Linked DNA regions of Struthio camelus. The protein of the gene in region 2 binds, or shares a complex with, the protein of the main gene of each other region. Links are inferred from orthologs where the notes say so. Each region holds a gene or a part of one and is shown on either strand. Other genes may lie near its edges.

The links.
Region 1: the proteins of SNTG1 (region 2) and TRPV3 are in contact, whole or in part, in a crystal structure (PDB 7QQN), measured with the Homo sapiens proteins. The link is inferred for Struthio camelus from reciprocal best matches to the Homo sapiens genes SNTG1 and TRPV3. Residues at the interface, in NP_001274742.1 of Homo sapiens: Arg62, Gly66, Gly67, Phe68, Gly69, Leu70, Ser71, Ile72, Lys73, Gly74, His78, Ser85, Lys86, His118, Glu119, Val122, Arg126; in NP_659505.1 of Homo sapiens: Pro786, Glu787, Thr788, Ser789, Val790.

What each region holds. Positions count from the first base shown.
Region 1 is NC_090957.1:17,836,328-17,852,159, reverse strand, and holds the start of TRPV3 (transient receptor potential cation channel subfamily V member 3), read right to left. Parts: upstream 6,707-15,832; 5' UTR 6,557-6,706; intron 2,380-6,556; 5' UTR 2,361-2,379; coding exon 2,242-2,360; intron 1-2,241. UniProt on the Homo sapiens protein: Non-selective calcium permeant cation channel. It is activated by innocuous (warm) temperatures and shows an increased response at noxious temperatures greater than 39 degrees Celsius. Activation exhibits an outward rectification.
Region 2 is NC_090943.1:139,604,659-139,620,387, forward strand, and holds the start of SNTG1 (gamma-1-syntrophin), read right to left. Parts: upstream 7,082-15,729; 5' UTR 6,956-7,081; intron 6,250-6,955; exon of another isoform or gene 6,016-6,249; intron 5,968-6,015; exon of another isoform or gene 5,736-5,967; intron 1-5,735. UniProt on the Homo sapiens protein: Adapter protein that binds to and probably organizes the subcellular localization of a variety of proteins. May link various receptors to the actin cytoskeleton and the dystrophin glycoprotein complex.

The DNA.
Region 1 (15,832 bases), on a different chromosome or scaffold from region 2:
ATGTGCCTGTGAATGCATTCTAAGCATGCAGCAAACAAAATGCCACTTCTGGTGAGCAGGACTGTGTCCCTGCAATTACTTAGGCAGCGGGGCATCCTTAACAGTATAGGAAAGACCTAGACAGAAAGCGGACCATTGCCATTACTTACACCACACTTGTCAGATTCACAGCTGCTGCAAATCACTATTGCTTCATTGGGATCTGAATTTGGCAGAGACTAAGAAGGAGTGGAAAAAACATGGGTTCATCCTGCTTTTTTGCATTCCCTAACTATGATGTGCAGGATCTGCCTCAACAGGCAAACAGCTTTTGGTGGCCTTAGTGAACCTCCAACAAGCCTGGAGAAGCACCACACTTGAGGCTTTGCGGACCGTCTCCCCTGCCTTTGGCTCAGCATTGGAAGGGAAGCATGTGCCACCGGCTGATGTCCCCGAGAGCAGCTCTTGCTCTCCCAAAAGTGCCTTCATGCTGAAGAATTTGGCATCCAATGGATTTATAGCAGCTATGAAGTGGGCCCTATTTTGGAGGCTGACATACCTAACCTATCCCAGCACGTAGGTTATTTGGGGATACTACAGGTGTAGAAAAGAAAAAAAGCCATGCAAAGCAAGTCGACAACTGCCAGAAAATACCCAAGTGCTTACGTGGCCGTGGTGCTCACTGTCAGGAACATTACCCACACACACAGTCAGGCTCTGACAACGTTGTCAACGCTCCTCCCAGCCTGCCTGTTGGTTTTCCTGTACTTAATTATATACTGTTAGTTCACCCAAATACCAAAGGGGCTTCAAGAAGGGAGAAGTCATTGTCTTCATAAAGTACATATCGCCAACACATCTGACAAGTGAGAAATGCCACCCATGGAAGCGTACTAACTGCTTAGTGGTACAGCACACCAGAAAAAAACATTTTGAAGCAAAAGAAGTACAGCAGCATAGGAACACATAATTAACAGAATATGTTAAACCTCTGTATTAAAATTCACATGATCTTCATTCCTTATGTTACAGGAACGTTGTCTGCCACACCCTGAACTCCCAGTTGTGAGACGGGAAAACCCCCGAGGTTACTGTTATTGATGCCACAAAACCGAACGTGATATAGGAGCTTAAGTAACTCAAGGGCAGTATTTGTCAATATTTGCTGTAACTAGACAATCTTCCAGGGAATTGCCTGTTTCTGAAGTACCAGGTGTATTGTGAGCTCTTCAGATACCTTGTCTCACCCTTTTACAACTCGTGTCATGATTCAAATGAAGAACTTCTTTTGAACTTAATGACAGAAGGAGAAATTAGGCTACCCAGGCAGTAGGTCTCAAATAACTAATTATACCATTTCTGTAGAAAGTGATTCCTCCGATTATTAAGAATTATAAATGTCAGCGCAGCCACAGTTCCCTGGACCTTGAAAGTTCCAAAAATTGCTATAATAGCTAGTAATTAGGCACAGAGTGAAAAGTTTATGAATGAAAATTCATGCTCACTCTACAGTAACTATCAGGGATGAACGACTACTTACATTTCCCTATTCACATTAAATACAAACCTTTAATCCACATCTTGATTCTCCAGCATAAATTATACATGAAAATGAATATTTTATTCTATAAAATAAAATAGTTGAGAAAACTCATTGATCAGAATCATGAAAAATAGAGTGAATTCAGGTTTCTGTCTGTGATAGGATTCCTCAAACCGCCTGCTCTGCCAGCCCTCATCTTTTAATTTCACCTCTGTGTCCTCATTATCTGTCACGTTCCCATGTGAGGCTAAGTTTGAAATGATCCCTTTTTCCATGTCAGCCTCTCTCTTATTTAAAAGCCAGAGTATCCTGCCGTGTGATCTCTTTAAAAAGATCTCTCCACTTTCTCCTACTGAAACACTGACCATTGTTAGATCATGTTCTTGTAGGCTTATACAGACACAAAGAGTAGATGCAGAAAGCCCAGCCGACATGAGACACAAGATTAAGATTGGTGCGTGAGTATAACGTCCCTGGCATAGGAATTACGTCTTTGTCCCATTAAGGTGAAAACATTACACATCTACCAAACTACCAGGATAATCTTCCGCTTATTAACTGCATAAGTGCACTATTTTTTAGGACACCTTGTGTTCATCAGGCCCATGTCATTCATACACACTGGAGGAATAAAGTTGTTAGTAATATTTCAGTGCTAACATCTACTAAAGGAGATAAAAGAGGTAGTTTTACTGTTCTAGAATAAGCTGGAGTCCTACCTTTTCTTTGTGGGAGTGCTTTCAGTCGTCTTTTTCTCTTGCTGGTTTGAAGGGGGAACACCAGACGGATTTGCTTTCTTGCCCATTAGTGGAATAATTTCTTTGTTATCTTTAATCATGTTTCTGCAGTAGATAGATCTACAGTTATTTAACTCCCTGGTCATTTGAAGAAAGCATGGTGACCAAATCGCCTCTTTCCACTCTCTTCACATGTAAGCGCACAAATCTTGACATTTTTTTCAAAGCTTTTCATTTTCAGTTACTAAGCACATACACACTGTTTTATGTGTCAAGGTTGGAAGGTTATATTCATGACTGATTAAATTACATTCTAATGAAAGTGGGATAAAGAAAGATACCATCAATCCAGGAGAATCATAACTTCAAGTATGCACCTAAGTTAAACTGAAGGGAGCCTGTCAATCACAATGACAGCATATGTTATTTAGAGAAACAAAACGAGCAGAATGACTTTTGTAAGTAGCTCCAACGTTTGTGCACCTCTGCAGTTAATCTAAGGAGTCTGTTCTTACCTATCCAAGACAATTTTAGGAAACTGGTAAATTCCAGTCTGCTGCAACAGGTACAATGTGTGAAGGAAGGTTTCAGACATGAAGCGTAGCGAGCAGAGAAAAAGCCCTGAAGTTTTTCAATGTATTAGAATAAAAGAAGCAATAGGCAGAGTCTGAATACTAACCCCAGGCAGAGCTCAGCTAAAAACAATCTTATCACACGGATCACACCAAGGACTTGTGTGTCCTAGCAACACTTCTTAACATTTCTTCAGGAAAAAAGAAAAATCATGACTCTACTAAGTGTGAACAATCACCACCATGTGACACAAAAGGACCTTAGTGCATTTATCTGCTTATGAACACTCACAGCATGAAATCTGTAAGTAATAATGAATACTTATCTTTCTATTTCTCAATATAATACTTAAGGGCATCATTTTAAATCACTGAGGATAACTTAAAAGCAAGAGAGTAAATTTAGGATCCTTTAAAAATCCATTGCATGTAGAAATAGCAAGTTTTACAAAGTCATGAATCCCTTCCCAAGCAAATCAGGGAAGTGCCTTCCATAACCAAGGACATACAATAACAATCACTGCCTGCAGGTTTGAACAAAATGATTTTTCCCCTCCTGTCTCCACTTTCCTTAATGTGACATATGTGCAAAGAAATTTTATACTCCTGTCACAGTACTGTCAACTAGAATTTCTTCATGATGGGAATAACAAGATGCAGAAAGCAGACTGTGGAGTGTGTGTGAACAGACATGATCGCTGGTGTTAGAGAGGCGATGAATACATGGAATACATTGATACTGGAATGAAAATCCATTAGTGCGTGTATGACAATTGTTTGAATACAGGAAGATCTTCAGTCCTAAGGATAGAGGACTGAGAGTTTGCAAGGCCCAAACACCTGTAAATGCAATTGTAATTTCTTGTAACTAACAGGAATAGAGAAGAGAGCTGAAATACTTGAGAGTACCCTTTACCTTGAAGGGGTTTGTACATATCAAAAATAAAACGTTACAGTATTTTCTACCACTGGTAGACATTTTTACGTGACAAATGTGAAACCACGCTAATGCAAATCAGAAACATGCATAATTTGGATGCATTTCCTGAGAATTCATACCACAAAACTCACAGAAATAAATCATAAAGGACAAATCTGATGTTACTTTACACACTTGCAAACAAAGGACACACTGTGGTAGGCGTATAGAAGAACAGAACTTAGATGTTACATAATTTGAGGTAGGAAATAGAGTTCTGTCCATGCCTTTGAAAAATGCAGTACTGTAGATCTGCAAACACATTGTATTGGTTATTAAAACATAGCTAAAACAAATTACTGTTGTCTTGTTTAGTTCACAAATAATTCTGCTATTTACTTCTTGCAGAATGCCTTAAGAGTACAGTGCAGTTTATAAGCGCATTAAAGGCATGGTTCTTGACGTACTAAATGAGGTACTTGACGTAAATCAAATATAAGGGGACTAGAATAAGATGGAGACTGGCATTAAATAACTTCACAAAAGAAGTGACTTTAGAGAAAGAGAATAGCTGGAAATAGACCAAGAGGTAGAAGAGCAGGTCAAACAGGGGGTTGTGCAAAAGGAGTTGCTGAGCTGAGATGGGCACGGCCAGCAGGTGTGTGAGAGCTGGAGAAGTCAGAGAGAGCAGTAGGAAGAGCTGGAGAAAATAAAAACTGAGGTTGACGTCTATAAAGCACACAAAGGACAGGGAAGAGCCGCTCATTTGTGAGCGATGCCAGAGCTGCTCAGATACAATAGCATGCTTCTGTATGGGCCAGCTGTGGGAGAGCAAGGTTAAGCCCCTTCTGCAGCCAGTTTTCACAGAAGAGATGTTAGCAATAGCTTAAGAGTAGGCAAAGTGGTTCAGGAGATGTAATGTCAGAGCACTGAGGTTGTACTGTGTAATGAAAGACAATTGAACCATCAGTGATTTAAGGAAACAATTTGGGGAAGAAAAAGAACAAAGTTTCATTTTTGTATACACGGACTACAGCTTTCAAAGGCACTTGGGAGACTGGACTGTGTAGTGCAGCCACAGAGACAATTTTAAATGAGATCTCAAGTCTGCACAGGTAAATAACTGCAGGCACTGTGGAAGAAGTACCTTGTTACTGTGCAGAGGTAGCATCTGTTTCTCATTCGTAATCACGATTAATTGCAGGCTCCGATGAAAACCAAGGTAGGGCTTTTCACAGTATGGCCTACAGAGATCACTTCGTGTTCTGGCTTTATCCATGCAAATCTCATGGAAGTTAAAGGAGCTTTTTTTTTTTTTTTTTTTTTTGCTTATCAGCTTCTTCCCTCCCTCTGTCTTGTTAGTTTAATGACCTACTACTTTCATCATCATCAGAGATCTCCCCCTGCACTATCGTTTTCTCTAATCTATGATTTACAGAGTAAAAAAGCGCAACAGTCCAGAGAATGCCCAATTATATGTAGTGCAGCTTACATAACCTGATATGGAGTGCCTTCTTTTGGTGCAACTATTTTTTACTTTCATTTTCTAGTTAATTGTTACTTTCAGGCCACCAGAGAAGTGGTTTATTTGAAGGGAGCAGTGAGACAAAAAATACTATGTTGATTTATAGTATTAAAAATTAATTTGGAGGGGATGGTGAGTACACTGAGGACTTAGTATCTCACTTCCAGCGTGGTGGGGATGAGAAAAGGCCATATATCTGCAACGGTGAATGGGACTCTGCCACTCTTACAGCAAATGATACTCTATGCACTACCACAGACTCTCCTCGTGCTTATCTGAGACCAAGGAAAAATCATACATATTTGTATCTCTGTAGATCAATGATAGTATAAACACAGTAGCTAAAGACAGAATCATACAAATGACAAGAAACGCTCAGCTGTGCTATCATGGGACAAACTCTACTTCCTTCAGGGCAGAGGAGTGGAAGTGACTAATAACAGCTGTTTCATTCACAGGATCCTCCAAACATCCACAGCACAGACCACCCTTTCCAGCACCTACAAGCTAATTCGTACTAGCTCATAGAAAAAATATCATCTTTCCCCTGGGGAAAGATGATAAAATTCCATTTTGGCTTTTGTGTATTATTTATGATATGGTATGAATCCAATCAGGAGAAAGTTACTCTTGATAGAAAGAGAGTTTCATCTTTCTGTAAGATTTTCGAACTTTTGAGAGGCTGTAGGAGAGATTAGGTACTATCTAAATGTGTTTTTCTTCTTGGTGAGAAATTTGTTCTTTCCTAGGATTTTTTTTTTTTTAAGAGAAATTAAAAAAAAACCCTCTGTGAAGAGCAACCTTTCTTCCCTGAGGAAAATGCTTTAAAATTATTCACCTGCCTATGCCTATTTTAGACAAAAAGAAGACATTTTAATGAGCTGAAATAAAGATTGTTCCACTCAGCCAGGTATTTTATTTTTGACACTCACTACAGTAACTGAGACTTTCAATAGGAGGTGAAAATATTATTTAAGTTTAGTTTGTATGACAGTATATGTTGGATCCTCTTTGCACAGAAATTAGGAAATGCTATCGTGCGCATCAAGGTGAAAAATATACATGAAATTAGCTATATCTTTTTTCACTTCTGAATGCCCAAGGAGTCAATGCGACATGGCTCAGAAGAAAGATTAATAAACTAGAAAAACAGCAAGAAGCACAACAGAAAAGCCTTCTCCAGTTGAAAGATAGGTTTAGTCTTTGTCTTTTAAAGATTTCATTCTCCATAAGAGCGTCACACCTAAACCAAACACTCACAGCAGCTCTCACACAACTTACCATGCTCATGAAACTTGCATTCAGGTGTAGAAAAGGCACCTCAGAATTGTAGGATCCTGCTGACACTGCGACAACATCCAAAAACACTAATATACCAAATGAGTAAAACTATAATCAGGCTCCAAACTATCTGAAAAATGCAAAACCACCCTCCTTCAGTCGACCAGGTTTCTCAGCTGATAGAAAGCACAGAGAAGTGCAGTGCTGGAGTACTGCAGCCTTACAGGATTTGTTACTTCGTAAATTAGGGAGCTGAGAGAAACTTGCTAGACAACAAACTTTACTTCGTAACTGCCAAAGTGGGATGACACATATACACGTAATAATTATTTAGTAGCACCGAAGTGTTACTAAAGCTGAGTCGCTTAAGGCTGACTTACTGGCAGCAGTATAGTATCTAAAGCAATCACAGCCCTCTGCAGTTTACATACTGTTTTCAAAAGAAAATGGTTATGCACATGCATTTGGGTTGCAAATGACATCCCTTTATGTCATGCTTAGTTTATTGTATGTTATGGTACCTTTCAGAAAGCACAAGGTGAAAATGAGAAAAAGATCATGATAAGTGTTCCAGAAAGCAAAAATATTCACTGTTACTTTGAGAAAGGAGAAATGGGCTTAGAAAATCTTGTATTTTCACAGTGATAATGTCTGTGATGCAGATGTCTTTAGATCTTTCCCTAACTAGTTTTTGATGAATGTGTACCTTTAGGATCTGCAAGGATACAAACAGGCATGTTTCACGTACACAGTACCAGTGTTATTTCTTGCTGTGCTATCTACAGGAATTAACATTTTTCAGCTTTGCTCATTTTGAGCTCTTGAGCAACTGCCAATACAGACTTCTTTATGGGACATGCTGGATAGAGCTTTTCCTTTATCACCAGAAATAGCATGTTTAAAACTTGCACATCTTTGTAGCAATGCCCAAGAGATGTTCTTATAGCTATTATTCTCTCCTTTACAGACATAATAGAAGCGGGTTTAAGGGGATTTATGCACATTAGCCAAACAGAAAGCTTCCTCAGGCTATAAACAAGGGAAGAAAGTGTCAAATTTGGGGGGAGGTTGGTGGAAGGTAGATAGAAAATTTAGAAAGAAAAACAAAATACCTTAGGATGTTAAGACCTAGAATCAGACTTTTGAAATCTGAAGAATATGGCTTTAAAATACATCCACAAACTGTAGGCAAACCCCTCTTGTTCATCAAGTAGATCTCTTTAAAGAAGAGGGCTGCTGAGCATTATATTTGCCTCAAATCAAGGTCAAATCTACGACGTGAAATACCAGGGAGCACTACCCTGTCTCTGGAAGTGAATTAGCTTCTCATAACCAGTGTGGTGAAACGGGCCATGCTTAGGCCAGCTTGATTTTGCACTGCAAGACCTTTGGTTGGATGTGCTGAGCACACATCCAGCTTTGCCTGAGGCAAATTTGTGATGATATACTCCAAACCCTGCACCAGGAAGGTGGTTCACACCTTGTCCAATGACTGTGCTTAAACTAATATACACTACAATATTGAGTCAGCTGCTTTGATAGTCTCCCAGCTGCTGGTCTACTCACTGGAATAAGGTCTGAATACTGGCATTTAAGCTTGCCTGGGAGAGAACTGACTTAGCTGTCCACACAAACAGCAAGAGAAGACTGTTTAATTGAGGTCATTCTGAGGCAGGAGAGCCACATGTGAAAACAGGCAAAGTTAGATTAAAACTGGGTGAAGGTGCGTTTAAGGACTCTAGGTTTAGCTCGCATTTAAACCACAGTAAAGACTAGTTAAGAAATTCCTCCGGTAAAGAGAGAGGAAATGAATTTGGCAGCAAGCACCTTGGACTCAGAAAGCAGCTAGATCCGAAAGGACCCAGATCTGCGTGACTTAGCACAATATAGGACCTAGCAGCATGGCCTATTTATTATGTAGTGGCATTTATCCAAAAAGAAAAACTAGGACAAGCTACAGAGAGTTGGACCCCTGCATCAAACCTGCCTAGGAAAAGGTGTAGAGGATTACAAGAGCTGTAACAGTTCATGTGCTTGGGAATCACACTTCATCCTGTCTGATCGGTGTTAAAAGCTTCTCATTCCATTATGAGGACAGCCTTGACTCACTATAGCTAAGCGTGACCTTTTCTGTGCAATTGTCAGATTTAGGAAATGTGAGCCTAGACTGTTTCTAGCTAATCTTCCTGAAAGCAGACAAGAATGGCACATGTTATACTTAGGTGTTGTGAGCTTGAACTGAGTTATTTTTAAGGGTAGACCTAAGAGGCAGGAAATGAGAGGCAGAACTACAGTAAGTCACATCTGGGCAAACATTTTCTTATGGTTTTAATCATTAACCCGCTTAACCTTTATGTTCCCAGACCTGTTCCACCCTGAGATTTCTGACAAGGCTAGCATTTTTCAGAAGCCAAGGAGAGTTTTGCAAGAGGCTGTATCATGGCTGTGTAGACCATTTTACAGAGTTTTACAACAGTTACCAGCTGCTTCAATATCAAAAGGGCCTCAAACAATAACGTTATGCTGCTTTTACCAGTTACTAACAGAGATGACATAAAGGTCAGGAACACTAATAACTAGGCACAGATTTCCTATCAAAAAATTACTTGAAAACATTAGTTTTGGATAATCTGCACAGTACCAGTAAGCAGCACATTTGCAGCCTATTTGGCATGCATTATTTTGTTTTTCTAACAAGCGCTAGACTTGCTAGAAACTAAAACGAACAAGATGAAGGAAGCCCCAGATGGGAGGGAATGAGCATTTGGAGATCTGCCATCTGACATCAGGGAGTCAGAGCTGCATTTTCTGTTCTGCTGTTACGTGACATGATCAGAGTCAAATTCGCATTAGGAAGTTATTCAGATTACATCCAATTCTCTGACTTTTGCTACCCCAACAGGGACTCACTAAGAGGAAAAGCCATTGTCTAAAAAGCATTTTTAACATTAATGGGTAACAGCAAGAATAATTGTAAATTACTTATTGCCAGCATTCCATTCCCCAAACTCCTTAAAAATAATCCAAAGTTTAAGTATTAAAACATTGTGCCTGCCAAACACCCGTATCAGCCAGCTCCCCTGAGCTTAATATTTGATTCAAAAAGAGTCTTTCATGATTTTTCACTGTGGAAAAAGTGCATTTAAATTCTCTTCATTTCTGCAGAGAAGAAGTCAGAATTGTTGTTCTGTTTTGGGGAGGATCCACAAGAGATCACATACAGACTATAGTTTTAAAAGAATGCGTATGCATTTAATGCTGGTGGCATAGTTTATGTTGAAGAACCACATGAAGATGTTGTTCAGTAGGGTATGATAAGAAACATCAGATATTATCATTTTCCCATAGGCTTTCCAGCCAACTTGAAACCAGATACAAGGAGGGAAGAAGGTGGGAGAGGAAAGGAAGGTCACAACAGCGTGCTGCTGTGCTACCCTCACTAGAGTATAGAGAGGGTGCTTTGCTGTTGACAGCGTGCTTCAAGAGAGTAAACGCAGAAGCCATTCCACAGGGAATGCAGCAAGGCAGAGCTTTCCTGATCTTGTGGGCTTGCTTTCTAATAGTGAACTCCTGATTTTAGCAGTTGGATTTTCTTTGTATAGGTTCAGTCCTCAGCATTGAGAGGATTCACATTATTGATTTCTCTTCAGTTAACTATGATACAAGCAGCCCTTGCAATAAGTCTTTTTTTATGCCATCAGAAAACATAGCAGCAGAAAAGAGAGATGCTTGTCTATCCATCTTAAATCAACAAATTGACCTTGATTCTTAACACTTTCCTTCACAGGGCATTTTACATAAACTGCATAAGGGAAAAATAGTGAAATAACTATTGGTTAATAGATCAGTGTTACTATCTCTCTCCTAATTTCTCCTACTGCGAAAAATGAAAGTCTAATCATTCAGAACTCTATCTGAACTTAAAGAGATGTACACTCCTGTTTCAAGGTTGCTTTTCTATTTTCACAGTACTTCATAACAAGTGCTGTCCTAGAGAAAAATTCCCCTTAGTAACTACCCTTTTAGAGATACAAGCACTTTTTAGTCAGTTCTATAAGTGATTTGATTTTTAGTAATTGTACCTCACTTTTCACCAAATCATTCCTTATTTGTTTTCCAGATGTTGTTGTTGAAATTCTCACTTTCTGTTTAAATATTTTCACTCTGAAGTGTGCAAGATAAGGGACTTTGAGGAACAGCTGAACTCTGTCCTGAATTTGTTTTTACAGTGATAACACTTTGACATGTACACAGTGCAATACACCAAGTAACTACTTAAAAGCACATTTTCAGATGCAGATACTTCAGCTAGCAGAATTAAATACTCCTGACTGTGCATTAAGTACCCAGCTTCAGTAACATTATCTTCAATATAATGCTCCCCCAATTCCTCCACTCTTAAAGTTAAACTCATTATAGGATTATATCTGTGAACTGCTACACCTGTATGGAGAGCTTTGCACTCCCATCCAGACAACTGAATGGCACTTGCAAACATTTAAGCATTAGGTACACTCTGAGATAAGAGATTGCATACAGCTGAGCAATAGAGATATGTATTAGGCTGTCATCTAACAGGAGACAGCCTGGGGGAAAATCATTCCAGGAAAATACTGGGCTATCACCTGACAGTTGGTACAGTCCAGACTGCAGGGACAAGTCAGCCTCTTCAGTAACATTATTACACACATTTGCTTAACATTCATACCTGGAATTTTTATTCCCTAGGGATTCCTGGCATAGAATAGTAGTCATTCACCAGAGGACAGAGAAGCGTTACTGCAGCCTCCCTCCATCACGAGGATCTTCTCTGCAACTATGTCACCATGCATGCAGCTTATTTGTTGTCTATTTTTCCGTCAGGAGAAGTAAAAAAGCTGAGCCTGGAACACTGAAGGAATAGTACCGCTGTTGGGACTGTCAAAACTACCCAGCAGCCAGACACCCTAATTATTTTGCTGAACACAAAAGCTAAATCTTCTGGACCCAATTCAAGTAGATTCCTCTAGGTGCAGTTCTGATGCCCTGAGACTCCTTGCCTATCCCAATGAGTAATACTGCCCATGACACTCCTCAGCCTGTCTTTAATCTGCTCCTGTCTTCTTTCACAGCTAAGCTGCTAGCTTTGGGAAGAAGGACATTTCTATTTTGTATTTTCACAGAACCTAGCATAGTAGTGCCCTGATCCATGGCTAGAACTCACAGAGGCTACTCTAATACCCACAACAAGAGGAAAAAAGTAGAGAGATGAAAGCCTGATCCTATGTCCTAGCTTCCAGCCATTCCCCCATTGTCAAAGAAAAAGGACAGAAACCCTTTCTCCCTTTTTATATTCCTTCTCCACCTGCTAGTGCGCTAGTCCACTTGAATCACTCCAATTCCTGCACTGAGTGTCAACACCTGTGGCCACTTCCCTGCACGGGGAGTGGCTCAGTCATGAATTGGTTGAAATCAGTGTAGTAAAAATCCACTTTGTGTTAGTGGTACCAGCAATTGCCTTCAGGTCATAGTTAACCCCTCTCTTTGCAAAATTACAGGAGACTACATGAACACCAGATAATAATAAGTGATGGGAAGAATGATTCTGTCACTCTCCCTGTCTCCTTTCTTGTATCTGTGCTACTGGTAGTGCCCCCTGCCACTCCCAAGGTGCAAAGCAACAGGGCAGACCTACAAAGACCTTTGCCAGTTGTCACTCCATCGAACAGTGCTGTGTTGGGCACTTTTCCTTGTGTCTGTCCTGTATGTGCTGTCTGCTGGTGCTGTAGGTCACAGGCTGTGTGCAGTCAGCCAGCGATGCTCACATGTATATGCGACCTTCCGAGGCTTCTATTTTAGGAAGAAATAAAGCCAGTATTAAGACCATGAGATAGGCACTTTTTATTGCCATTGGCTCTGACTTCAGGGTCACCCAGAAGGGCACCATACCTCCTACATGAATCAACACGTAACACTTCTTTCAGATCTTTCAAAGCACAAACTCTGCTTCTCTGTTCTGAGACTCATAGATCCAACTAGGTCAGGGTTGTTCTCCAACTATTTCAGCCTGAGTTTGTACCCTGAGTAAATCTTCAGTTGTGGTGTGTAGTTTCTGGTAACACTTAGCAGTGCAGAGGAATTAAGCAATATGAAAATGCCTCAAGGAATACACCATGTACAAAGCGTGCCCCACCTATATGCTAAATTTTTTTGCCCAAGTCTGTTCTGCTCCTGTTTGACTCAAGCAGCCTTTTGAGGGTAATCACCAAATCCAGGGAGGCACTTTAATATCAGAATAATTTCAGCTTGAATTTATAGTTTAGTCTTTGATTTTAAGAGTATCAAGCCTCCTTTTCTAAAAGGAAAAAACATCACCTGTGTCCTCCATCTAAACATGTGGAACATTTCTTTTCCCTTCCCCCCACAAAAAGCTGATTAGATCTGGAAAAAAAAAATCTGAGGCCAACCCAAATTCACCCACCGTCAGGTCCTACACTGTGAGCTAAATTCTGCATCAACCACAGCAGCACATGGGACACTCGCTAACTACAATAAATTAAAGTCTTTGCAGATCCCTTCCACTTATTATCATTACCTTTCTGAGAAAAAAGTGAAGCAGAATTCAAGGTGAACATCTACCAGTCAAAATTAATCATCTGATACTTTGGTTTCCCAAAAATAAGAGAGCTGAAACCTGCAGGTCCCATGTTGCTGCAGTCTTGATGGCACTGGATACATTTGCTTGCATGTGCTGAAGTTTGAATCTTCCAGGGTTTCCAACGGGAGTTCTTTGGGCAGACGCACATCATATATTATCCATAGATAGATCATCTTTTCAGGATGCATTTTCCCTGTTTCAGTTTCAAGCCATTTTTCTCATTACATCCCTTTTATTATGCAAGTCATGTCCTCTCTGTCAGTGCTTAGATTCCTGTTCCTTAGCTAAGATGCAGTTAACTGTTGCCACTTGTCCTTGCAAATCGGTCTCTTGAGAACCCTCTACCCATTTCCAGCCCTGAAATTCACTTTTCAACATCCTTCTGGTAATGAGGGACATCACTGAACTGATATCCTCCCTGTATCTTACTCTATGCCAATTAAACACTCTCAGCTTTCCCCTTCTGACTAACAGCAACTGAAGACACCATCCCTTTTCTCTGGGTGGTTCACTACCCACGTTCTCCTCTGGAATACAAGGAACTGTCTGGGCTAAACCTACTATGTGAGGTTGGAAATGAATGACTTCCACCTGGTGACATGGCTTAAAACTGCTCTTACTGGCTGAGTGAGTAGGATACTTCCTGTAACTGGGAGTTGCTCTTGCTGACTACTCTACAGCTGGCCAACGTGGCAATTCCAGGAAAGATGAGTTTTCATGTCACCGTTCAGGTCACTTAAACGTTCACAGAGGTCCATTGTAACGATGATGGAGAAATATAATTCTGCACAATGATGGATTCTGAAAACCACAGAGATTCTGTAAACGTTCATGTCTCCTCATGTCTGTTCATTGCCTGCATATTGAAACAGGAAGTGTTACTAACGAGGATGTAGCTTTGCCATAGAATCACAAACACACCAGAAAGAGAGAAGTCGCATGAGGCCATTTGGTTGATTTCCCCTCCTTCCAAGGGAGACAGGGTGCTCTCCACTGTCCATTTCCAAGTGCTTTGCACAGTTTCATGTCAGATGTAGAAGATACTGGGCATCCATATTGTCTCTGGAAACTAATTCAGCATCAGAAGTGATCTCAGTCTGCATGATGGGAAGCACTTCAGAGCCCAATAACCACATCAGAAGATCCAGGATGCCCATGCTGCATGTGGCAGTGTCAATGAAGACAACCTCCTCCCAGGCTCTAGTAAAACCATGCCTGTAGCCTAACGGAGCAAGGTTCACAAGAACCTTCACTACAAGTGGATTGTCTCTAATGCAGCAAAATGTACAAGCTGACATTATATATCCAAGGACATTGTCTGACAGTGGGTTGCTCTGAATAGTTTATCTGGGATTTTTAACGTACATGAATTCTTTTGGCTTGGAAGATTTACCGTGACAGCTTGCTCTAAAATATACAAAATTCCTACCAATGGGGACATGAAAAGCTTTAGTGTCAGAACACGAGTCCACTGGCTTTATCCTGTAAGGTTATGGCGTTGGTGGGATCCCGTGTGTTTTGTAACATTGCAGTGCTCACTGGGCACACACCCTGGGGATTTTTGAGTACTGAGCACTCCAGCAAAGATGCTTGGCTCAGTAACATGTTAGTGTGATACAGACCTTTGCCACAGAAGAATGATGGGAGTAGCTGTCATTTGGCAAAGAGAAATATGATTCTGCTTACAGAATCTGATCAGAGGCAGCAATCTGGGCCATGGTGGCAGAGGAAGAAGGGCTTTCCTGGGGCAAGTTAGCTATGGGGTACCCCAGAGGGACTGGGTAGCATCCCTGTACCTGCCTTGGGGGCCCTCTTGTGGGCCCTAGAGTCTCCCATGGACTCCACCAGAAACTACCAGTGAGCTGCACAGGGATGGATTGACATTAATGTTTTATTAGGACAAGCGTTATCTAGCACCAGTGCCAGTTGTTGCAGAGGGCACAGTGAGAACAGACAAATTTGGGCTGTGTGGCTCCAGGTCTTACAGGCAGGATGTATGTTTTTCTCAGCTAATTCAGAAATTACTAGAGTTTGAAAGACATGACAGCTCAGCTCATGTGGTTGACTAGACACAGGTCACATCTCAGGTGTTGCAATGCTGTAACATACCGGAATCGTATCTGTCCATTTTCAACTACTGAAGAAGCGTAGCCCAACTCATCCTAGCCCAACTCATCTCTTCTCATTATCTCCCATTGCACACACATTCGCATTCATTTGTAATTAGTCATCACCCACATTACCTTTGCTTTTAAGCTAGTGGGATCTGATAAATGTATACAGCTGTTGAACCTGGTCATCTCATATTAAGCATTTAGCCATGCTCCTCCTCAGCCAGTGGAGGTGCCTAACAATCAGGAACAGCAAGATGCCTGTCCCAGAAAAGCTATTCTTAAAGCATGAACATTTCCTGGCAAGCTACCTCTCTGCCCATGGATTGTTTGCAGCCCTCCACTATGAGAGCATGTCTTTGTGCTCTCTGTCCATTCAGAACCAGCACGTTCCCTGTAGGCATCCCACCCAGTCTGTCAGAGCAGAGATGCACTTTCTTTTCCAGAGGCAATTCTCCACACTTAGGTGGAAAGAAGATGAAGGAAGTAAATTGTGGCAAACAGAGCCACGGCCAGCTGAGTTGGAAT
Region 2 (15,729 bases):
CTGCTAGCACAGTTACAGCAAGCTTTTTCCAGTGAAATTCCTTCATGAATGCCACTGTATTTGACTGAGAAGTTGCTTCAGCTGGAGAAGCAATAAAGTAGTTATTTTTGCACTTACATTAATAGAGTTGCTTAGTTTGCCAACAGGGAGCCCTGCTACTAACTGCACCCCTGACGGCAGCCAATCATGTCACATTCATAATGTGTTAACAGCCCCAGTTTCTTCGAACTGTAACCCCAGATTGCTTTTAAATCCATTTCTCCATTTTATAAAGCCTAAAGCTGATTTTGAAAAGAGTATTTTTATTATATAGTACACTCTGTGTTCATAAAGTTGTTCCATAAAAAAGCAAAACACATAATCCACAGAATTAGAATAAAGACACTCCAAATTTTAAAAAGCCATAGGGACACAGACCTGATGCTGATTTTTATTCAAATCCCATCTTCAGTGAAGAGTTCTATAAATGCATCAGTGTATGTTTTGTTACAGAACAACTGCTTTGCATGGATAATAACAATATATTGCCACAAAAATGTATGCAATTTAATAACGGATTAAAACGTTTGTATGAAGAACTGTTTGTGAATTCTTCTGCATCCAGGGACATACAGCTGTGATACAAACTGGTAATGGATACAGGCAGACAGCTGCGTGTGAGGAAATCTGCAGCTTCCAGACAACTGTAGAGCTGATGATTTTCCCCTCTTTTTTCACTTGAACAAAATCTGATTAACGTAGATCGGTTCTCAAAAAGCTGCTTAGAATTTACATAAAATGATAGGAAAGAAGGAAGAGAGTTCTCCTGCAAGCATAATTCTAATTGCTTTACTTCTTTAGGGGTCAAAAGCAAGCCAAAGAAAATCAATGTCCATTTGTGTTGCAAAAGCTGAAATGTACAGTTCATTATTCTCAACTGTTAAAATAGTCAATCAAAACATTTTACTATGTGGAGCAACCAGAAAAAGCTATTTCACATAATTTTAAATAAAGATATATTTAGAATTAGCATCAAAGCATTTCATAAGGAGAATTTCAGCAACAATTCTGTGATTAAGAATCAATGTTTTATAGTTAGTCAAATAATAATTTTATCATGAATGAATATCAAGCTTTGAGAAGACTTCTGAGACTTCCAACAGCATTATAGCTGTTGAAGTCACAGAATTTTCCACTGAATTCAATAAAAATAGCACAATAACCTTAGATGCCAAGAAAAGAATCAGAAGATGGGATTAGGATCACTGGCTAGAGTCTGCCATCTCTACAGAACTCAAATTCCCTTCAGCTTTGGAGAGAAAGATGAGGAATTACAGTAATATCTTAAAAACACTCCCATTCTTACTTCTTTCTGGATACATATATATTATATTAAATAAATTTAACACACTAGACAGAGGAAAAAAAAAGGCATGTGTTTTGTTTTATTCACACAGCCTTTGTTCACAGTTAAATGTAAGTCTATTTAAATTATCTGACAAAAAGTGACATAAAATTTACTTAGACAGACTTACTTCTAACATCCACAAAAAAGCTAGTAAATTGCCTGCTATTTGAAACAAGATGTTGAGACTGAACAAAAAATTGTAATAAACCCAAAGTTCAGAATAATCTTACAAATAAATTGTTGCTTCTTTGCTAACATTATCTCAGAAGTTCCACGCAATGAACACTTTGGAAGCGCTTAATGTCATCAGCTTTAAAGGTGTGAACCAAACCTTTGAACCAAAATCTCACCCAATGAGTCAGGAATACCCATATCTAACAAGAAGTAAAAAATTCCAACAATCTAGATATTATATAAAGATTATAACTATCTGCAGAATAATCAATTGAGCCAACAATCAATTGCACTCATGGCAACTCTGAAACCATGAGCTCTTTCGCAGATGCTGTATCAACATAAGTATTAAAGCATTAAACCATCATCCATCTCCTTTCCCTCCACCACATGTCACATAGGACTTTCAGTAGTCATTGAAACGAACTGTGTTGAGCACCAGTTTCAGCATTTAGCTCTGTTGCAGGGCTTGTGCTGTTCAGGGTAGGGTCAGTTCTTCCCTCACAACAAAATGGACGTGTGGTGTTCAGCTCCTGGCATGGGAGACCTCCTGCTTTATAGTGAAAGGCCACAGCACAGCCCTACACAAACTACCCGGTCCTTTACCACTGAAGTCATTCTGAATACCTGAGAAGGGCAGCAAACCTTATCCAACAATATCATTTAACCACGTTTTGGTCTTATATGCAAAACGTCATCTTTTAGAACAATTACACTTATGTAACTCGTATCAACTATTACTCTCATGATATTATTAAAGTAAAGAACTTTCTTGTCCAATGCTACCAAATGTTAACTGGAGAACATGTCATGAAACTAAACTTATCCCAAACACTTATTTTTTTCTTAATTATTATTATCATTCTCTATCGATTACTTTAATAAATCAATGGGATCAAGTCCTCAAGAAACAACCCAGCCTCTGGCTCCTGTACTTCGAGACTCTCATCATGCAAGTGAGCGCTCCACCACTTTTTGCCAACTCAAGCTAATTATTGAAGACAAAAGTTCAGAGTGCCAAATGAGTGACAGGTACATCTGAAGTGCAGAGTATAAAAACATAGAAAGTTTTGTTTCTGTATTACATAGCTCCTCTTCTTCATAAAGAGTAGACGCATCACTCACTAAATCCTTCCCTCTAGATGGATTATTCCTCCCTTTGAAAATTAAATATTCATGCAAATTTCACTGACAGTGCCTCCATTACATTTGCTCCTGTTGGTTCCAGTTGTATCTTTGAGATATGATCTATACTCTCCCCCCCATCCCCCAATACATGTGCTTTCTCTCCTTCATCTGACCTGGAATAGAAAGGCAGAAAATTTAGGCTGGCCACAATGACAGTAAGGCTTTCTGACTCTTCCAGTTACGGAAGGTAAAACTCAGGGCAAATACAGAAAGTCAGGTGTGTAACCATGCTGAGATGATGTCACCTCAGACTGTCAGACGTATGCGTTGATGCAGCAGACAAACTGGGATTCAGCCTATCTAATCCTCTCTCTGGTAACCTGAACTGAAAGTACAGCCATGAGAAGGGATAAGAAAGACTATACATTAAATCCATTTGACACTTCTTACTTGCTACCACTTCTTACCTTTTTAAACAATGTATGCAAGCAAAGGTGGTGATGACTAGCCTTTGACAGTATCACAGTTTTCCCAGTAGCTCAGCCACAAAGACCAGTACTAAATTACGAGCATGAAGAAATGGTACTTATTCAAGCACTTCAGAGTGAAGAAGAGTCAAGAACAGACTACTTTTTTAATATTTGATTGAAGATGAATGAATAGTGACTCAGACAACTCTGTTGTACTGACTGGACAGCTTGACATATTTTGTCAATTCATGAAGGTTATATCTGGCAAGCCAAACAGCATGCCTGAGCAGATATAACAAAATTAGCAAAGGAATGCAATCTGTAAGCTTGCCCTGGACTTTCTAAATCAAATCAACATCTTCTCTATTAATTTGCATAGTATAAAAATAAAAATACATGCCATAAAGTTGAATATAGTGTATTTTGGCAATCTCCGATACAAAAGATACAAGTAAACTAGGATACAGAACATGAAAGAAAATACTAGAATAGCCTTACAGTAAGCAAGTTCTTTCCTTAAAGAACTCAGGTATTTCTTTCCCCTTTCTTTTCAAATTTTCAACAGAAAAAGAAATGTTTCTTTCTTCTACCAGACTCAGTGAAAACTCAGTTCTTTGGCCATAAAGCAGAATGAAAAACTGGCTATAGGTGAAAGGCTAGAGCAGCATGTTCTTTAATTCAGTGACAAGGACCTTCATTGGATTATCTCATAGCTATGGGACAAGATACTGCAAAAGCCAAATGATGCATCATTAAATTATGTTTTCTTCTTCTCCAGGCAAAGACAGAGTATAGCATTAGATTAGTTTGAAGGACTAAGAAGAAAAGGAAGAAAAGGGCTCTGTAACTTGCATCAGAACCGGCAAAGCTGATATAATTTTCAAAAACCACTTATCTGTATAATCAGGTATAAGCAGTTACTTATGTTAATTTTGTAAACCATCAATGTAATGTATAGCCCCAATGAATTCCAGCTCAGTGCATGCGTCAGTGTTTTATGATCTCTCTTGCACACACTTAGTGAAAGCCTGCCACTCTGCAACAGAGAAAGGAATTACTACAATAAGTCCATAGCTACACTTTGATAAAAGATACAGATTTTTTTGATAAGCCGCAAAAAGAAGCTGAATGCTTTAAATAATGGACAGGTTTGTGCCCCAGTGTCTAGCAACAGTTATTTTAATTGCTTTTCACAGTATCTTCACAGTCAGGAATATGAACCACAACAAAGCTCTCCTGAAACTGCACTGAAACAAAGTGACATTCCTCTCAGACTGCTTACCCACAGTGAACTTCATCCACTATTATGGGAAAGGCTTACTTTTTGCTATAAACTTGAGTTAGTTGCACCTTCAAGCGTAACTCGTTCAAGTTACACGTTCAGTACTGCCAACTCAATGCCTTTTAATCCTATTATGTTAACTCCGCATTCATGTAAAGTGTGTGTTTCAGTCCATAAGAAGATCCCTTCCTTACAGCTTCCCAGCCAACAAGTGCAGGCAAATCAAAGTGCATTAACCTGGGAAGCTCTGAGCACCCCCCACTACCCCCCCCACACACACTTTTTGCCAGAGTTCTCTTCGATTAGAGAAGAAAATATCCAAAACTCAACAAACATTTCACACACCTTGATATTTCTGCAGGAGCATATGCTTCCAACATTGCACCTTATACTTTTATCACTATCACAGAGTTATTTCCGCAAGTCCACTCACTCATAATGCCCAGTGTCTCTGCTGAAACTAGGATGTTCACTGGAACTGAGTTCTTAGTGAAATGCTAGAGCTCAGCTATAAATCTGTGTAACTCCTTTTATTCTGTGATGCTTTCATGTTAGACCAGGATGTACATCAAGGTTACTGTAAAAGATTGTCATTTTTAGACTCATAGAGAAGACACCAAGGAAATCAATAAGAGAAAACTTAATTAAACACAGTCTGAAGTTTTGTCTTCTCCCAAACCTGTCCAGAATTCACTTTATGAATCCTCTTTATCCCCTACCTTTCAGAGACAGATGTTTCATAGAGAGGAGCAGGCAGGTTGGTTAGCTCATACACTATGCGTGCTGAAAGGTGACCAGGAGAATTCATTCTTTTCAGCGTGACTACCCTGTTTAGAGATCTTTGAGTTTTTAGCAAGAGATTACAGCCCTATGGGTCTGCTCCTTCAAAGCGGAGTTCCTCCAAGAGCAGAATTAGTCCCGTGTCTGCTCTACGTGCTGAGATATACTGAAATCAACTTTTTGTTTCACAGCAATAACAAGTAGAGCAATAAAAATCCATGTGCTAAAGCAAACAAACAAAGCTGGAGAAACCACATCCTCACAGCAACAGCATCTCAGAGAAAAAGAAAATCACCAGGCAGGACACAAGAAAGTAAAGGCATAAAAATCAAAACTCTCTAGGTTCACTATTTTAACCCATAGATGGGTATGAAATATGCTTACACACATACCCTGCCTCTCTCCTCCAAGAGCCACTGCTGGAAAGCAATAAAGGGACTCCTGCAATTAAGTTATAGCCTAGCACAAAGCAGAAGACATTTTATATTAGCACATATAATGCATCATTTCTTACAGGTGCAGAAGTGGGCAGCACAGGATTACTACAGCGCTGCGCTTTACCGCTTGTGCACGCCAAGTCCTGCACCGTACGGCTGCCCTCGTCGTACTTCGCCGGAGTTGGACCGGGCGCCGCTGCGACCTCGACCACAAACCTCCCGCACCGACACGCCGGAGAGCCAAAACTGCAGCTGGGGCCGCTGCCTCCAAAACCGCGAGTAAGAAACCCAAAGCTGCAAAAAAGTCACTGGAGATGACGTTCATGCAGCGCAAGGACAACAAAAAACGACACTCACTTGCCTGTGTGCTCCCGCCGGGCGACCTCCTCTCGGCTGGCGAAACGCAGAGCCGCTCGCCCTCCTCGGACCTCTCCGAGCGATTTCCAAAATATTTCCCAAAAGGCCGGGGCATCTCCGGGCTCAGCCGGAGCGCGCAGGGAGCCCGGCCGGCGCGCCCCCGACCCGGCCGCCCATGGTCTCCGCCGCAGCCCCCGGCCAGTCGCGCTCGGATGCCCGCGGCGTCGCCTCGCGGCCGCTAGCGCCGCATCTCACCCGGCCGCCGCCGCGCCGGCGGCAGCGAGGGGGCTCCCCGCGCCCTTGGCGGAGACGGCGCGGGGGCACCGGGCGGGGGAGCGCGGCTAGGCAGCGCCGCCCCTCCGCGGCCGAGAGCGCCCAGGCGCGGCGCGGCGAGGCGAAGAGGCGCCGCCAGCGCGGCCGCAGCCCGGCGCGGCGATGCCCGCCCTCGGGACCCCCCCCCAACCCCACCCCACCCCCGGCGCTCCGAAACACCGCCCCGGGGCCGCCCCCAGCAAAGCCGGCGAGCCGCGGCCCTGCCGGCGGCAGAGCGGGCCGCTACGCTCCGCGCCGCGCCGCAAGTAGAGGCAGCACAGGGGGCGGCTGCGCGGGGCACCGCGGGGAAAGTGCGGTCCTCCTCCCTCCCCCCACCCCGCTCCCTCCGCCGGCCCCCGCGCTGCCGAAACGCAGTCCCCCCCCGGTCACGGCTTATCCCTCTGCCCCCCTGTGAGTTCTCAGTGAGGAGAAATTCTGCCTTGCCCAGGCAGAAAAGTTTTTTGACCTCCGCCTTATTATGCCCCTCTTCTTGCTGAACTTCACTGGATGCGGTTTCTCCTCACTGTGCGAGTGGGTATATATTGATCGCTTGCCAGACGGAAAATATAACATATCAACCCCCTTATTTAGAAGCAGTTATGTGTGCGGTTTATTTTGACAGACTCACTTGAAGCGGCAGAGTCGTTTTCTTTTTAGATGCTACCATCTTCCCTCGGTCAAGTAATCCCTCCTAATCTGCCAGCCTCTAATTTTGGGCTATGTCGCTTGGGTTTTGTCGCTCTCCCACCTGCTAAGGGAACGATGCCCTGCTTAATTTTTCACCAAATGAAGACATGAGAAACGAGCGAGAACGCGTCCCCGCTCCGCAGCGCGCGGGGGCGGGCGGCGCCCAGCGCTCCCCAGCTGGGAAGGGGGCGTCGGAGGCGGCGGCGGGGCCGCGTCCCGCCCCTGCAGCCTGCCCGGCCGCCGCCGGGCGGAGAGCTGCCAGCGGCACCTGGGGGCCCGCAGCCCCCCGCGGGGTTGGCAGCTCCCTGCAAGCTGGTTTTGCGGGGCGGCGCAGGGGGGAGCAAGTGGGAGAGCACGGCTTCCCCCCCACACACACCGTGTCCGGGCTGCCTCGGCATCCCCTTGTCCTGGAGCCACGGTCAACGGGTCATCTAATTTTGTTTCAACAGAGGAGTTGGAAGTTAAAGTGGCTAAAACATGGCAGCAAGCAGGGTCCGTGCTGGGTTTGGGGCGGGGGGGGGGGGGGGACAAAAAAGGAGGAGGGACAGGCGAAAGAGGGAGGGAGGGAAGAATAAACCACTTGGTGTCTGTGTTGGACATCGAGTATCACTGAGAGGCCAAAGCCTTTCTGGATCCAGAGGATGCGGGTTTCTGCAGCGCTGCTGTGCCAGGACTGCAGGGACGAGGGAGGGGGCTGATGCCTGGGCTCCTTCCTCCACAGGGAGCCAGGACCTGGGGCTTCTCGGGAGGGAGCCGGGCGCACCCCGGCGCAGCACCCCCGGCAAGCAGCAGGTGGCAAAGGGGGCTGCTCCACCCCGCATCCCTAAATCCCCTGCGCACCCGCAGCCCTGCGCTTTCGCACTTGCTTATCTCCAACAGCTGGCAAGCAGCCCCGCAGCCGGAGCTCACTGAGACCGTACAGCAGTCACCCCACCCGTCGGAGAGTGCTGAAATGATATAGCATAACGTGGCAGATCATATATATATAGGCATATATGCGCGCCCTGTGGTGTATTATACGCACGTATACGTCTGCGCTGCCAGTGCGGGGGAGCCGGGCCCGCGGGGTGGGGGCCGCCAGCCACCGACCCGCCTTTGCAAAGGCTGTGGGGGTGGAGGAAAATTAAAACGGGAGGAAAGAGAGCGCCGCGGGGCCCCTCGCAGACGCAGCCGTCCCTTAACCGCCTGCTTCCCTCACGCCGGTTTTGGGGAGCAGCAAGCTCCTCCTGCCCCCCCCCCCCCGGTGGCCTCGGGGGAGCCCGGGGCGCCGCGCCTGGGGGCTCGCGGGGGCTCCGCTCCGCTCTGCTCGGCGGGACGGGGCCGCGCGGAGCTGACTCGTTTCATCCCACCGACGCTATGTGGAGCTACGAAAGCAGGGAAAAAAAAAAAAAATAAATCCCACGGTTTAAAGTGGCAGCGTCGGGTGCAGCCGAGGGACCCTCTTCTGCGTCTAAGTTTGGCCCCCAGAGCGGGCCAGGCTGGTTGTTGTCGCTAGATTGCCTTATCCGTATCCTCTGGGCCCCGTTTTAGCTCTTGGAAATGTTATTCTTTAGTCAAGCAGAGATTTTCAGGGAGGGTGATCAAAATTACACGTCCAGTGAAAGCAGATTTAGCTTTGCTTCTGTGTAGCTCCTCTTCGAGCATTTTTCCTCCATACAGTTGTTTAGGCTTCTTAGAGTGAAAAGTTATTTTTTCTACATTTTATGGTTAAAAAGTCTTCTTCTGCCAAGCTGGGGCAAACAAAAATCTTTTTGTTCCTTATGAATTCCTTTTATAAATATTAACTTCAGTAATGTGCAGTGAGCTATTCAGGGGGAAAAGATTTTAAAAAGACAGCTCCATACAAGCTAAATGTAAAGATAATAGAGTTGCTCTGAAGAGTGCAGCTGATAAATGCATAAGAATATGCAGTGATGGATTTCATGGCTAATGGAACAGATTTGTACTTGGGTCCTCATCTAGAGATACAGATTCTTGTTTTTCCCTATTTCTTAATAATGATTGATGTTAACAGACTTCTTGATAGCTACAAGCTAACCAAGCTATCTGTCCTATTCCGGTTCTACCGCAGATTGAATGGTTTGAACAGGTAGTTCTCCTGACAAGACTGAAAAAATAAATGATTGCAACTATATATATTACCATCCAAGTCCTAATACATGTATCTCTCAGAATTGAAATAATGAGTGAAATTTAGTGAACTGAAAACTCGTCTGAGTCAAACACAGAAGTAAAGCAGAAGTGCAGCCATCCTTGCTCTTGCTTTGTTGAGAAAGGCCTCAGAGCACAGTTTTTAAATAAAGTGGATATGAATGATCCTTCACAATCTCTTAACTACCCTGGCTGGAGCAAATACTACTTGTTGGGATAGCTCTGATGCAGTTCCAACGGTGACAGCCTCAGCTGTTGAAATCACCTTTCCTTAAAACTCGCAAGCCTGGATATAGATTAATCAATACATGCCATATTCCTCCTAGCTGTAGGAAGAACTGTCATCTCTAACAGAGACCTGTTACCTTTCTTTTATGTGAAGATGAAGAGTAGAGTGATACTCTTGCTTATGTAAGCAAGACAGTTTTATTTTCACAAGAGAAAGTTATCGCAATTTTTGCTGCAAGAGCTTTCAAGCTCTTCCCATGCTTGTTAAAACATGCATATCTCAGTTAAAAGTTTTATTAGCATTAAGAATATGCTGAAGATAAACTCTACCAAAGCAGATGAAAAGTGTGCAATTTTTAAAAACATTATCAGGCAGATTTCACATGATTGTATGAAGTATGTGTGACTATCAGTTTTACATAATATTAGAAGATTAGTATTGTATTACATTTTTGCTTCAGGCAGCACAAACACAGCATAGGATTCTTACATACACAAAATTCATATTTCATACAGGTTTAGAAAGTAATCAAGAACATGAGTCAACATTTAAAGTCAGATTGGGAGACCCAGAAGGGTTTTTGTGTAGTTACTGGCAGTGTTTACTAGAAAATATTACATGGTATGACATAAACTAGTGGTAGCTTCTGCTGCAGATTGTGCAGCTTTAGCCAACTGGCACCATTCAAGGTGTCCATCAGGGATGAGGTGACAGAGGAGTAAGAGAGTTAAAATGGAGGAAATAAAAGATAAAGATGAAGAGCAAATTGTATTGGCTAAAAGATGTGGGGGTGGAGGGAAGGATGTCACTCAACAAGAAAGTCGTGACATCCTTTGTAGAACAGTACTGACTATCTATCTATGAGCAGCTATTTGTCCTCTTTCTCCTAAGCAGAACCCAATCTTTCTGGTTACAGGATATTTCACTCTGATTGTGGGCAGTGATTCTGACATCTGGCAGCCAGACGTTTGTGTCTATATCTGTGGCATGTAACTCCTCACTGTGAAAGAGCTGGGAAGTGAACAAGAAAGAACTAAGGGCCTGAAAAAGAAGTTACAGGCGCATCATTATATCAGGAAAAAAAAAAGAGAGACCTTTATCCAAAACCAGTGCAAGTTAGGGGGCATCCATTCATGTAGCAAGTCCTAGCAGGTCTGCTAAAACATCCATGGCTAGCCACCATTATATGCTCTTTCCTTGACAGAACTTAGCTCTTTATCAGTTTGAAGCCATCAGCTGTATCAAATACATTCCAGTCTGTAAATGAAGGCAAGGTATTCCCCCATTTTGAGCATGAAAATCTGAAACTGAAACTGAGGCATGGGTGCTGTTCATTTAGAAGCAGCTTTGGTTTTAGTCACAAAGTATCTTAAATAGACCCCAAAATTTCTTAGAAAGTATCAGTTTTTATTTATTCACATGAAAATAAATACTCAATAAAAAGATATTACCAGCCTATAAGAAGATCTCATTAAGCAGAATATCAAAAGGCAAATTGAAGTGAAACTCACAGCATTGATGAGATTTTCTTTTTCCATCAGAATAGAATTAATATATTTTCAATATCCACTTCCGGAAAAAGATATGGCTGTTGTAATTCCCTCAAGAATGGGTATAACATGCTATATAATAAGTAGGTCACAAGGCCATCTATGAGCATCAAGCTCCTGGTACTCCCTATATTGCAGTAGAAATTTAGAGAAAATTTCCAGTTTCTGATGAGTTAATATTATTTTTAAATTCTACTCATAGACTAGTATTAATTCACCCAGTTTAGTCCAGAAAAGGCTATGAACATATTCCTTCTTGTTCCCCCGCAACTAGATTAAACTAAACTCCAAGAAAATATGGAAAGTGATGTACCAGTATCTGGCACACTTATATAAAATAGTGTGTCATTTGTCACCATGGCTTGTAATCTTAAAATCTGACTGGAGGAATGGTGGAGACCAAAATAGCCTTTATGTTCTGTGGGTGGCCAGAAAACTGCAGCTATATTCTATAATATTCCTTGCTGCCATGATTTGTTTCTCAAGAGCTCCTGTGAATCCGTTTAAAACTCAAACTCATGTAGGCCCAGACAGAGACATGGGTTTTGTTCTGACTGCAACTCATTAAAATCCCTCTTTGTACATGTAAACAGGATATTAGCAATTCCATATGAATATTTCTTTAAAATTCTGAGCTTTTCAAATAATCCCAAAGCTTGGAGAATTTAAACCCACATATGTTGAAACCAAATAGCAGAAAACCTCAAAGAAGCTGTGAAGTTCATAGCCTTAAACTCTTTCCTTAATCCCAAATTTTATAGGCCGTCTCTACATCATGTTCAGTACTGTTATTATTTATGCCAGTCTATAATTGGCAGGCATCTGATGAATGATTATTTTTAACCTATAAGAGAATTTCGATAACATTGTAACGAAGGATTTTAACCAGTTTTAGGGAAATTATCTGTTATCTATCTTAGTAATTAATTTATTATAATCAATTATCACAAATTAGAAAGGACAAGTGACAATTCACAGGCTATAATTAGTCACATCTAAGAAAATTATCAATTTCATTTTTCTGTATTATCCTCACTACAAAAACGTATCTCAGTATTATTCCAATTATCCTATTTCTTCACCAAAAGAAGATAAAATTACCCTCTGTGCACTTAAAAATTAATTTTACACATTGCAAACTTCAAAACTGTTTTTCCATTTGGAAACCAAATAAGTGATAAAATGCATGTATCCTTTAAAAACAACTAACTTAACAGTTTTATTTCTATTAGCTTCGTGGTGTTTAAAGTGGTAGTTAAAAGATGTGGTAGTGGAATTCAAATATGGAATGTCATCTGCAAATAATATAATGGATTATACTATTTTGAAGTGAAACTGACAGCGTGTGAGTTTCTATGTGGCTACAACCATAGCTTATAAAATGAGCACTATGTTCCTGGAATTAAAGGAAGTGTTGGTGAACACCTGAGACAGTTTCTGTGGGTGGAATTAAAATCACAATTTTGCCCAAAAGTTGCAAAATGAACCACTCTGCAAAAAGGTAAACAGACTTATGTGAAAAATTATGGATGTTATAGGTAATCTCTGATAGATGGATATTAGACCATGGTCTCCCCGGCATCTTCAGCCTGGCCCAAGTGTTTGCCTGTGGGATGTTGAAGGGAGCAACAGCTGTTTAATCAGCAAATGCTTCCAGACAGTTCAATATTTTTTCACACTCATTCATAGCCCCAAGTCAGGGAGAGGGGATAAAAAGGAGCTGCTTCTGTGGCTGCTTCTGGCTATGTATAAATGAGGTAAGCCTTCCTGGGTGGAGCCATCACTGCATCCCTCCAAACCTTCAATAGCAGAGGCAGCTTTGATTCCCCCTCCTCAGTCATATGACAGCAACTTCTTCATCTGTAAAAGGACTGCAGGATGAATTCAGTGCTTGCTGTAAATGGAGACAACGGCTGCTTCACTGCAGAAGAAGGGGACATAGGTATCTCTTAGTGTGAGGAACATGTGATATGTGTATATATGGAAGGGTGAACACTGTGTGCTGATCCTGGACACAAGTGCAAAGGAAAGTACGTTGAACCTGACCTAGTCTGACTGTCCTGTGGAATCTGAGTAGCTTTTCTACCATGATGCTTGTGGTTTGCATGCATGACCTATGCCAAACCCTAGGGGGAAACCATCTGGGCTGTGGGAGCTGCACCATGTACAGATGTTTCTTGAAGAAATTGACCCCAGATCAGAGTTACTGCAGTATATGATCCATGGTATTCCTGCATTAACTGAGGCAAATATTCCAGGTTCTTAACTACTAAATAATAAGCATTGCTCTTCCAGCATGTAGACACTCTTGATGGGTTTGTTCTCCCTCCTAGCTATGGATTGTCACTCACAGCTGTGAAATAGTCCCTGACAGCACTTTGTGTACTTCTTCCATGACACTTTGGTGCCAACAGCTGAACATGCCAGTTCTTACTCACATCACTCTGTCATTAGTTGAGTTCCTAGTGACTCCAGTCTTTGCTCACCCTCTGCCTCATGCTGTGTAGACATCTCTCTCTTTTCAGTACTGCCAGTCCCTAGCCTTAAGCTTCCTTGGGTAGATGTCTATCAGAAAAGTAATTGGTTGCCATATTTTTCCCTGACTAGACCAGGGATTAAAATGAGATGAAGAACAATAACAGAAATCTTATTAACCCTTTTTTTTAATAGACTACTTATTCACTACAATAATGGTATTGTTATCTACTCAGGTAGCCTCCCAATGATCTCTCATAAAAATCAACGTTGTGTGCCACTTTTCTGTTTCAGTCTAATACAAATGATATCACTATAGTATCTTCATTCTGTTCCCTCATCTCTGCCTTTGAATGTGCATTGGGCTCCCAGGTGAGGCTGGTCAGGGCCACTGAGGCTGATTAGTACCCTCAGAGCCCTGTGAGCAGCCTTCCCTCCCAGAATGGTGCGTCCTCCCACCTTACAGAGGTCTGGGTTCAGAAGGGACTTTAGAGGGAATAAATTACTATGGGTTGTCATAGGGCTATTTCAGAGAATGGGGAGCAAGGGCAGGGACAGATAACTGGGGCAAGGAAACAGTGTGGGAGACTTGGGGCTCAGTGTGGGGAGTTCATGCTGCGTACAAGGAGCCCTGGAGATGACATGGGGTGTATGTGTGTTGGGAGGGGGAGGAGGTTCAAGCCACAAGCCCTGGAAGCCGGGTGGGCTTGGTGGGGGATAGGGGGAGGCAAGGTCCAAGTTGATCATAGGGAGCCCCAGAGGTGCTGGGTGGGCTTGAGAGCTGCAGACAAGTCTTCCCACTGTGTAGCTCGGTCTGGGGAGGGCAGCCTGGGCTGAGTTGAAACAGGCTCCTGGACCATGGGCAGAGCACGGGCAAAACCTGGGTAGAGCCATTAAGGCCTATTAGTGCCCTTAGGGCCCTAACAGGTGGTATAAATAGAAAATATTTAGTATGTCTTGCTTCTCTGGATGAGTCACTATATTTACTGGGAGAAGCAGGGCTTGCCACTTTTCCGAAGTAGGCAGAATCTAAGACAGTCCTACTGCAAAGTTTTTTTTTTTTTTTTTTTTTTTTTTTTACCATGTATATGTATACCAGAAGATTATCACTCATTACAAAAACATGAAGTTACTGAGCTGAAGCTCCAGCTCTGACACAGCGTTTCCCAAGAGCTGTTTATTCCAGGGCAAAGTGAGCCCTCCTGCAATTCCAGAACTGTGCTGCTCACAGTTATAAAATAATACCCACAGCAACATATTCAGAAATTATGAAATGTGTGGTTTTTTATTAGTATAAGCATTGCTTGCATAAAAAGTGTCTCATTTTTATATAAGGAAAAACATTTTGACATAGTACCTTTGAAGTGTTCCTTCTGAGCAATCAGCTGGAATACAACCTAGCAATGACTTTGGACTCTCCACCTCTACTTGTCTGTTACAGTAATAATCTATGTCTTCCAAGTATTACATCTCTATAAATATTACGTCTTTATGAAACACATTTTCAGAGAAGTAAAATATAGGAGGGAATAAACTGAGTAGCTTTTCCAAATTATATAGGAGGTCTGTTAAAATTAAGAGTGACATCTGAATTATCTTAGTCCCAGATCAGTGCCCTGGTCTTGCTGCCTGCATTACCTTCCCCCTTCCTGGAGGGAACTCTGCCAACTTAGACGTCTGTGGAAAAGCTTTAGCAGCACTTACAAGCACAGAGGAAACCTAATGACTGTCTTTAAATATAACTTTAACCAATCGCAGGTATAATTTTAGCAACTCAAGTAATATAATTTTCCCATATCCATAGTAACTACTTCTGTGGGGAAAAATAAGCCAGTTAGAAAAGGGTTGCTGAGTTATAGCCTTACATTTGTGATATCACATTTAATATTCTATTTGATCTAAAACCAGCATGTATCCTATGTTCTATCATAGGTGACTTGCAAGTTGGGCTCACATGATCAGCTTCACACTGAATTTTAACTGGCTGATTTTTGCAAATTTTACTGTATCATACCCAGTAGCAAATCATTAGCTCAAAAAGACATTTTTCTTTCCTTTGTTACAAATATTTACCCCCCAAAATTCATTTACCCCTTTCTGTAGACATTTAACTATTTTAGTAGAGTTTTTGTTATCGTAATGAAAGGTTAACTGAGGGAAAAAATAAATACTAGTTAAATAACTGAATTAGAATATTTATTGCTTTCAGAAGAATAAACTGACTCTGAAGCATATTTTGATCATATTTCTCTTGTTAGTAATACCTTTTAAAAATGATCTAATATTATTTGCATATGTGATGAATATAGT